Callithrix jacchus: one gene and its partner. The protein of the gene in region 1 purifies or fractionates together with the protein of each later gene. This does not show direct contact. Links are inferred from orthologs where the notes say so. Each region holds a gene or a part of one and is shown on either strand. Other genes may lie near its edges.

What was found.
Region 2: the proteins of OBSL1 (region 1) and CAMKK2 purify together in Homo sapiens (affinity purification with mass spectrometry; 4 studies listed by BioGRID and IntAct, with this or other methods). This does not show direct contact. The link is inferred for Callithrix jacchus from reciprocal best matches to the Homo sapiens genes OBSL1 and CAMKK2.

The regions. Positions count from the first base shown.
Region 1 is NC_133507.1:141,291,503-141,295,957, reverse strand, and holds the end of OBSL1 (obscurin-like protein 1), read left to right. Parts: intron 1-481; coding exon 482-638; intron 639-804; coding exon 805-966; intron 967-1,283; coding exon 1,284-1,388; intron 1,389-1,701; coding exon 1,702-1,971; intron 1,972-2,203; coding exon of another isoform or gene 2,204-2,244; exon of another isoform or gene 2,245-2,248; coding exon 2,249-2,445; 3' UTR 2,446-2,623; coding exon of another isoform or gene 2,624-2,631; 3' UTR 2,632-2,756; downstream 2,757-4,455. Other genes in the region: TMEM198 (transmembrane protein 198), read right to left, coding at 3,632-3,769, 4,120-4,322. UniProt on the Homo sapiens protein: Core component of the 3M complex, a complex required to regulate microtubule dynamics and genome integrity. It is unclear how the 3M complex regulates microtubules, it could act by controlling the level of a microtubule stabilizer.
Region 2 is NC_133510.1:124,467,540-124,472,969, forward strand, and holds part of CAMKK2 (calcium/calmodulin-dependent protein kinase kinase 2), read right to left. Parts: intron 1,949-5,430; coding exon 1,927-1,948; intron 1,782-1,926; coding exon 1,693-1,781; intron 1-1,692. UniProt on the Homo sapiens protein: Calcium/calmodulin-dependent protein kinase belonging to a proposed calcium-triggered signaling cascade involved in a number of cellular processes. Isoform 1, isoform 2 and isoform 3 phosphorylate CAMK1 and CAMK4. Isoform 3 phosphorylates CAMK1D.

The DNA of each region.
Region 1 (4,455 bases):
TAACAATGCCCTAAGAAATAACTAATACTTCTTCAGCGTGTGTGCCTGGCACCGTGCTAAGATTTGCATTACATTTAATCCCTTACTCCTTACAACTCTAGGAGGTAGGTCTTGTCATTTGTTATCTATGAGGAAACTGATACTCAGTGGGACGAAATTACGTGCCCAAGGGCAAACCAAAGAGGTAGTGCCCATATTTGAATCCAGGTTTGCCTAATTCCAGAATCCGTGACCATGTACCCCTGTGACTGATACCTGGCTCTGGGCTTTCCGTGCACCTTGGCGGCCCTAAGGTCCCCAAAGGGTGACACCTTCTCAAAGAGGTTCCTGGCACGGCCCCGAAGGCGTGGGACAGCCCGATCCCAGCTTGGGAACACGAGATACACATAAACTCGTCTCGAGACCCCTTGGCATCAACAGACGGTGCTGCCGGCCGCGCCCAGCCGTGCCCTCCCCGACCCTCTGCAACTCCCGCCCCTAGGACGGGCGCGCGCTCACTCCAAGCCCGCGGCTCCGGCTCCAGGCCCTGGGCACGCGCCGCCTTCTACAGCTGCGGCGCTGCGGCCCCTCGGACGCCGGGACCTATAGCTGCGCGGTGGGGACGGCCCGCGCCGGGCCGGTCCGCCTGATCGTGCACGGTGGGTATGGGGTGATGCGGGGACTGGGCACTGCTTTGGGCGCGAGACCTGCGGAGCAATCTTCCCGCGACCCTGCTGACCGCGCGTGCTTCTAAAAAGGGGGCGTGGGGGCGTGGCCAGCACCTGCCCTCCGCCCCGCCCCGCTCACGCCCCGGGTCCGCCCCAGACCGCACTGTGGAGGTGCTCTCCGAGCTGCTGTCGGTGAGTGCCCGCGAAGGCGACGGCGCTACGTTCGAGTGCACCGTGTCGGAGGCCGAGACCACGGGGCGCTGGGAGCTCGGAGGCCGCCTGCTGAGACCCGGAGCCCGCGTCCGCATCCGACAAGAAGGTCTGGCCGCCAGGCTACCCTTTCGGGCCCCTCGCTGCCCCGCCCAGGCTCGGACAGACCCCGCCCCGCGGGACAAGCCCCACCTCCGGCTCGGACAGGCCCCGCCTCAAGGCCCCAGAGCCGCGTCCCGGGTCTCTCCTCCGCCCCCAGCCCCGAGTCCCGGACCGCTCCTCTACCCGCCCCGCTCTCCGGTTCCGCCCACCTTAGCGTACACTAACGGCGTCCGAACCGACCCAGGGGCCTGCTGCGGCCCCACCCGCGTCCCCAGCGCTCCTCTGAGGTGGCTCCGGCCTCGCTAGCGACCCCGTCACCCCCAGGGAAGAAACACATTCTGGTGCTGAGCGAGCTGCGCCCCGAGGACGCCGGTGAAGTCCGCTTCCAGGCGGGGCCCGCCCAGTCCTTGGCTCTACTGGAAGTGGAGGGTAAGCACCAGGGGCGGGAGCGACAGGGAAAGAACATCCTCTCCTCTCCTGCCAGGGGACTGACGGACCGGGGGTGGCCCCGGGAACGATGCCTTCCTCTTCCCCTTCCCGCGAAGGGCTCTCCTGGGCCGGGTCACAGAGGGCACCGCGTTTCCCTGGGAAGAGGAGACTTTGGATTTGAGGTGCAAGGGAACGGACCGGTGGCATAGAGGGCTAAGGCCCTGAGTGGAGGCTGCAGGGAGGGAAGATGCGTCTCTTCTCCTGGGGGCCATGTGTGTCCCTATTAACTTAAGCTCCCGCCCCCTACCCTCAGCATTGCCTCTCCAGATGTGCCGCCGCCCCCCTCGCGAGAAGACCATTCTGGTGGGCCGCCGGGCCGTGCTGGAAGTGACTGTGTCGCGCTCGGGGGGCCACGTGTTCTGGTTGCGGGAGGGGGCCCAGCTGTGCCCGGGAGATAAGTATGAGATGCGCAGCCACGGCCCCACCCACAGCCTGGTCATCCGTGACGTTCGACCTGAGGACCAGGGCACCTACTGCTGCCAGGCCGGCCAGGACAGCGCCCACACACGGCTGCTGGTAGAGGGTGAGTAAAGCCGACTGGGAAGAGGCAAGAGGGCGAGGGCACCTGGGAACCGATGGGCTAAGCCACACCTATGGGAGGCTTTCTAGGACTGTGGTGGCGGCAGGTCCTGAAATGTGTTGGAGGTGGGGGTGGGGGAGGGGAGGGATAGAGCACACCCAGGGCTGGAACTGCTTGACTCAGATCAGCTGCTCCTAGTCAGCTGTTCCCACCTTTCTATACCCCTTCCTGCCAGGCTTCTCTCTCTTGCCACTGGACCATGTTTCTCTCTCTTGAACAGCCCCATTTCTACCAGTTCCTCTCCTCTGTACCTCCCTAACACTGCCTGCCTCCAGCCTGTCCCTCCTCCCTCCTGCCCATCGCAGTGAGTTCCATGTCAGCCTTGGCAGAGGCCTCTTTCTTTCCTCTTACACATGTCTCACACGAAGAGACATCCCACCTTCTATCCCAAATCCCAGCATTCCCTCCAGATGCTGAGCTGTGTCCCACCCCTAGCTGACCCCCACCTTCCAAGACAGCCCTGACAGAGGCCCAGAAAGGGTAGGATAGAGCCTGTGGGCCCAGATCTTCCTGTGCTGGTGTCCAGGCTCTGCCTGGGGAGAGGAAGGTGGTACCCACTCTCTCCCCAGCCCCACGTGGAGTCATTCCTCTGCAGGTAACTAGGAGTACCGAACCAGGCCAGGCAGGTGCCCTTGGACAGCTTGGAAGGCGTGTGCCCCTACCCTGGGCAGGGGTGGAGAAACAGGGAGACCAGAGATGTCAGGAAACAATAAAAGTGCTACAGCTCATTCCCTTGGCTCTCTGAGTGATGTGGGAGGGCAGACATTGCCTGTCGCCCCTGTGCAGTGAATGACACTGGGGACTGAGGGCTGTAGTGCTTATACCTGGCCCATGAAAGTGCCAGCCACCAAAGACCACTATTCCTGGCAGAGGCCACGCAGTTTGGCACATTTATAAAAGATGTAAAACAAAGTGGGATGGGGGAGACAGAAGCATGAGGTGTCCAGGTTGGCATGACAGACACCAGACATGCACCGTGCATTTAAGCCCCTCCCCAACTCCCTTCCCAACCCAGCCTGGCCCAGAGCAGCACCCCCCACCCCCATCTCCTGCCACTGCCCTCAGGCTGGTGGCTTTGTAGAGGCCAGGGGACCAGGGTGAGGGGTGCTACAGTTTGCCCCACAGACAAGGACAAGAACCCTTAGATGAGTCTGGCTGGGAGGCAGGGTGATGGGGAGGAAGGCAGCCCCTCCGCGGAGACATGCAGGAGGTGGCCCATGGGACTCCGGCGGGGCGGGGAGGAGGTGGGACCCGGCCTGGAGAAACCCTACCAGTCAGAAATCTAAGGCAAGGGTCACAGTGTCCCCTCCAAGCCTGCCCCCCCACACACACATACACACACACGGGCAACACACTTACAACCCTGAGCACACCCCAATGGGGTTCACACCCCGAGTTCCTCAGGAGCCCCTTGGGAGCTTGGGAGGGGCCTTTCCTCTTAGGCCAAGCCTCGCCTGAGACAACCTCCCTTCTAATGATCAGGCCAGCCCTCTCCAGGCTGGGGAGAGGGACAGCCAAAGCCAGGGGCCTGGGTGACAGCCTGGCAGGCCTCCACGAGCTGGCAGAGCTGGTGACTGCAGAGTCTAGACAGGCAGAGATATGGCTATACCCGCACTGGGGGGCCTGAGCAGGCTGTCAGAGGTCCCCGGGACCCATACTCATAGTCCGCATCTGTGGGTGAGGCCATGAAGGAGCTCAGGGAGCTCCCGGTCTGCCGGTCTCGGAAGCTCTGGATATAACTCTGTGGGGGAGCAAACATAGGTGTGAGAGTCCCACTGCAGAATCCTGCCCTAAAAGCCCCCTCTTCCTGAATCCCCACAAGCCTGACACCCCTACAGACTGCCACAGACTCAGAGTCCACAGTCTTGAGACCCCACCACATACCATAACCCACTTAAAACCCATACTCAGGGTACAGTTCCCCCAAACCCCCCACCAGCTGGACCTGCCAAGCCCCTGGTGCATGGGCTGTGACACACAGAGAGTAGGCCTTCTAGATAGAAACCAGCCCATGGGGAAAGCCCAGTACTGTTTGGATAGTTTCCACACTTTTTTCTCCCCATTCTGGCTGGATGGGCTCAGGGAGCTCACCGGGGAGAGGACGTCTCCATTGAAGCGTTTGATGGGCACTGGCCTGCGCCGATAAGCAGGGTCTGGGGGCCCAGGCCTGGGAGGAGCCCGGGGACCTCTGGGGGGAGCCCGAGGAGGTCTCTTTTTCCGCCTTTTCTCCTTGCGATCTTCCTGCTGCCGAATCCGCATCAGTTGCACACGTCGGCGCTGCCGACTGATGACCACTGTGGTGGGATGGGCAGAGAAGGAGCTCAGAGGAGTGTGCGCCTTATTTCCCCTGAGCCCTCCCTCTCTCTTCCCACCTAGGGCTGCAGGCTTCCAGATTCCTCTTGTCCATAAACCCTTACTCCCACCCCG
Region 2 (5,430 bases), on another chromosome or scaffold:
GGCTGAGGAACAAGAACCACTTCAACCCAGGAAGCAGAGGTTGCAGTGAGCTGAGATCACGCCACTGCACTCCAGCCTGGGCAACAGGCAAGAATCTCAAAAAAAAAAAAAAAAAGAGCTAAGATGTTTAACAAGTAGAAGCAGAAAGGACACCTGCCAATCAAACCACTGATGTGTACTGGCTGATCTCTCAGCCCTGGTGGGTGAGAGACGTTATCCCCATTTTACAGATGAGGAAACTAAGGTTCCAGGAGGTTAACAGGACCCTGATCCCAGGGTGGCTGGAAGGAATAGGAGACAAAAAAAGTAGAGCCCCAAATAGTGCCTGGTGCACACAGAAAGTGCTAAATAGTCACTATTGCTACCGCTCTTCATTTTTCCAAGTGGCAGTAAGAAGGGTTTGGCTTGCCTGGGCCATGGCCCTAGGGTGGCTCTCTGCAGCTGGCCCTGATTCTTCCTCTCACACAATTTTGCTTCCTGTTGTGATGGCTAATACTGAGTGTCAACTGGATTGGACTGAAGGATACAAAGTATGAATCCTGGGTGTGTCTGTGTGGGTGGTGCCAAAGGAAATTAACATTTGAGTCAGTGGGCTGAGAAAGGCAGGCCCACCCTTAATCTGCTGGGCACAATCTAATCAGCTGCCCTCAAATATAAAGCAGGCAGAAAAAAACGTGAAAGGTGAGGCAGGCCTAGCCCCCACAGCCCGCATCTTTCTCCTGTGCTGGATGCTCCCTGCCCTCAAACATCGGACTCCAAGATCTTCAGTTTTTTTGTTTTTTTGTTTTTTGACAGAGTTTCGCTCTTTTTACCCAGGCTGGAGTACAATGGCGCGATCTCGGCTCACTGCAACCTCCGCCTCCTGGGTTCAGGCAATTCTCCTGCCTCAGCTTCCTGAGAAGCTGGGATTACAGGCACGTGCCACCATGCCCAGCTAATTTTTTGTATTTTTGGTAGAGACGGGGTTTCACCATGTTGACCAGGATGGTCTCGATCTCTTGACCTCGTGATCCACCCACCTCGGCCACCCAAAGTGCTGGGATAACAGGCGTGAGCCACCGCGCCTGGCCAGATCTTCAGTTTTGAGAGTCAGAAGGGCTCTCCTTGCTCCTCAAGCTTGCAGACAGCCAATTGTGGAACCTTGTGATCCTGTAAGTTAATACTTAAAATACTCCCCTTAGCCAGGAATGATGGCTCATACCTATAATCCCAGCACTTTGGGAGGCTGAGGCAGGCGGATCACCTGAGGTCGGGAGTTCAAGACCAGCTAACCAACATGGAGAAACTCCATCTCTACCAAAAATACAAAAAAAAAAAAAAAAAAAAAAAAAAAAACATAGCCGGGCATGGTGGTGCACACCTGTAATCCCAGCTACTCGGGAGGCAGGAAAATCACTTGAATCCAGGAGGCGGAGGTTGCAGTGAGCAAGATGATGCCATTACACTCCAGCCTGGGCAACAAGAGTGAAACTCCGTCTCAAAAAATAAATAAATAAATAAATAAATAACTCTTCTTTGTGTGTGTGTGTGCGTATATCCATAACCTATTAGTTCTGTCTCTCTAGAGAACCCCAGTCCACCCACCCATCTCCTTGTGCTCCAGGAAGAAAATAAGACAGTCTCCACTCTGCACCCATAGCTCGTAACACTAACTAGCCGCCGGGTGAGAGTCCTCCCACAGGCCCCGCTTACAGTACTCGATGCCTTTGATCAGATCTTGGAAGTAGAAACGGGCCTGGTCTTCAGAAAGAGGTTTGAGAGTGGGCACTTCCATCACGGGCCTGCAAGGTCGATACACGCATGAAGCACAAACCAGATCCACCCAGCCCTTGCCCTCTCTCACCAGCAGAGCCTGGTGGCACCTCACTCAGCTACGCAGCTGGTGAAGCTTCTGGCATCACCCGTGCCGGGAGCTGGGACACTCACCCTTGGTTGACCAGTTCGAACACTATAAGGAAGAAAAGGGAGTGAACTGTTACATGGGAAAATGAACATCCATCTCTCTGTCCTCCCCACCTCCCAACCACCTCCAGGAACACCGAGAAAGACAGAAACTAATATTAGAGCTGGGGAGAAGTACAGTCCACTGAACCAAGCTGGCCAAGGTCCTGCTTTGCTAAATTTCCAACAGAAGGCAAAGGACCAGGGATTTCTGACGTCCCTAGCTCCAGTCTGGCTTGACTTCTGGCGCTCAAATTGGCCCAGGATCCACTAATCAAAGAAAACAAGGCAGGAGCTGGGCAAGGTGGCTCACGCCAGCGTAATCTCAGCACTTTGGGAGCCAATGCGGGCAGATCACCTGAGGTCAGAGGTTCAAGACCAGCCTGGCAAACATGGCACAACCTCGTCTCTACTAAAAACATAAAAACCAGTCAGGCATGGTGGCAGGTGCCTGTAGTCCCAGCTACCTGGGAGGCTGAGGCATAAGAATCACTTGAAACTGGGCGGCAGAGGTTGCAGTGAGCCGAGATCACAGCACTGCACTCAAGCCTGGGCAACAGAGCAAGATTCTGTCTCAAAAAAAAATTGAGATTGAAATTTACATCACATAAAACTATCCATTTTAAAAGTATGTAATTGAGTGGCGTTTAGTGTATTCACAATATTATGCGATCATCACTAGTTCCAGAACATTCTCATCACCTCAAAAGGAAACCTTGTCCCCTCAGCAGTCGTCATTCCCCATTCTTCCCTCCCTCAAGCACCTGGCCACTTCTAATCTGCTTTCTGTCTCTGTAGATCTGCCTGTTCTGGACATGTCACGTAAATAGACTTGAACACTATGTGGCCTTTTGTGTCTGGCTGCTTTCACTTAGCATCATGTTTTTCAGGTTCATCCACACTGGAGCCTGGATCAGTGCTTCATTCCTTTTCATGGCTGAATAATATTCCATTGTCTGGGTAGACCACATTTTCTTCGTCCATTCATCTGTTGAGGGCATACGGTCTGTTTCTATTTTTTGGCTGTCGTGAATAGTGCTGCAGTGAACATTCGCGTACACGCATTTGTGTGGATATCTGTTTTCGGTTCTTTTGGGTATATACCTAGGAGTGGGCTTGCTGGGCCACATGGTATAGTTAATTTGATTCTGCCACGACAAGCATAACTGGGAATACAAGGCTGTACTTTAGGAAGTAAAAAAAAAGAGCACAGTAGATTTCAAAATCCAGTGAATGACTTCGGGGTTGCTTATTGTTCTTGAGTCATATGCTCAGAATGAGATGAGCATGTAACAGAAACCAAAGGGGATACCCCATTTTCCGTGATGTAAGAATGCACTGCATGTCAGTATCAAAACACCTCATGTACCCTATAACTATATCCACCTACCATGTCCCCATAAAAATTTTTTTTAAAAACTTTTTTTTGAGATGGAGTCTTGCTCTGTTGCCCAGGCTGGAGTGCAGTGGCACGATCTTGGCTCACTGCAACCTCTGCCTCCTGGGTTCAAGCAATTCTCCTGCCTCAGCCTCCCAAGTAGCTGGGACTACAGGTGCCCACCACACCTGCCTAATTTTCATATTTTTAGTAGAGACAGGGTTTCACCATATTGGTCAGCCTGGTCTCAAATTCCTGACCTCAGGTGATCCACCCATCTTGGCCTCCCAAAGTGCTGGGATTACAGGCAATTTTTTTTTTTTTAATGAAACCAAAGGGTTGTTTCAAAGTTCTCCAAGGCCTGAGAAGGCCAAGGGGAGCGGAGAAGCTACTCAGACAAAAAAGAAGACTTAAAGATTCTGATCAGGAAAGAACTGAACTCTCCCAGACCTTCCCTGTCTTCACAGCACCAACCAATGTGAGTTAGGGCAGGTGCCATTGCCTCGGGCTGTAGTTAAAAGCAAAGGTAATGCTAAGGTACAGCTTCGCCGGATAACCCAGCGCTAGCCCCCTCAGTTTTGGCCTTTCCTGCTATTTAAGTCTTAACTTGCAAGCTTCATGAATATCTGCACCATCCTCCCACCCACCCAAGCACCATGAATCAGGTGGCATGAGGGAGGGTGGCCTGTTGAAACAGGTCTATTTTCAGTCACTGACAGTTCAACCACTTTTGGGGCTGAGCAGTGGGTGGGAATTTTTTAACCTCCAGAAATAGAGACTGAGTTTTCTCCTTTTTTTTTTTTTTTTTTTTTTTAAGACAGAGTCTTCTCTGTTGTCCAGGCTGGAGTGCAATTGCGTGATCTCGACTCACTGCAACCTCCACTTCCCAGGTTCAAGCGATTCTCCTGCTTCAGCCTCCCAGGTAGCTGGGATTACAGGCATGTGCCACCACACCTGGCTAACTATGTATTTTTAGTATAGATGGAGTTTCACCATGTTGGTCAGGCTGGTCTTGAACTCCTGACCTCAGATGATCCTTCTGCCTTGGCCTCCCAAAGTGCTGGGATTACAGGCATGAACCACCATGCCCAGCCCACCCCGTTTTTTTTTTTCAATTGAGACAGGGTCTTGCTCTGTCACCCAGGCTGGAGTGCAGTGGCACAATCGTAGCTCACTACAGCCTCAAACTCCTGGCCTCAAGTGATCCTCCCAACTCAGCCTCCCAAAGTGCTGGGGTTACAGGCATGAGCCACCGCACCTGGGCTGAGTTTTCTGCCCTTTGCATGTCAGGCCTATGGCTGCAGAGCCTTCCTGACACCTACTACCTGGCCTTGTGCACTGCCCTGTCTGTCTCAGGCTCACACCACTGTGGCTGGAAAGTAAAATATAACCATGTCAGGATTTTCAAAACCACTGGAATCGCATATCCCAAATTAGCATGGCTCCTTTCTGCGACTGCCACCTTGAGTAGTGAAAAACTGTCTCTGCAGCTGCCCTGCTCAAGCAGATCAGGAAACTCCTCTTAGAGGCTTGGACCATGTTCTTCTTATCCTCATTCCACCCCTCAGCTCAATCCCCGCCAATGGCTTCCATCACCCTCAAAATCAAAGCCAAATTTTTAATTTTTTTTTTGAGGCAGTCTCACGTTGTTGCCCAGGCTGGAATGCAGTGGCACCATCTCAGCTCACTGCAACCTCCACCTCCCAGGTTCAAATGATTCTCGTGCCTCAGACTCCAAGTAGCTGAGATTATGGGTGCATGCCACCACACCTAGCTAATTTTTGTATTTTTAGTGGAGACGCGGTTTCGCCATGCTGCCCAGGCTGGTCTCAAACTCCTGAGCTCAGGTGATCCACCGGCCTCGGCCTCCCAAAGTGCTGGGTTTACAGATGTGAGTCACCGCGCCCGACCCAAGTTCTTTACAATGTTATAAAATACCCTCTGCCACCTGGTCCCTACTGTTCTGCCCAAATGTCATCTTAGCGAGACGGTCCCTGCGGAGCCACTGTATTTCTCCATCCCGCAACCCAAAACTCGCAGCTCCTCGTGCCCTGCTCGGGGTTTTTGTTTTGTTATGGTGGTGTCACTTTCGAAACCCGTGCATCATGCTC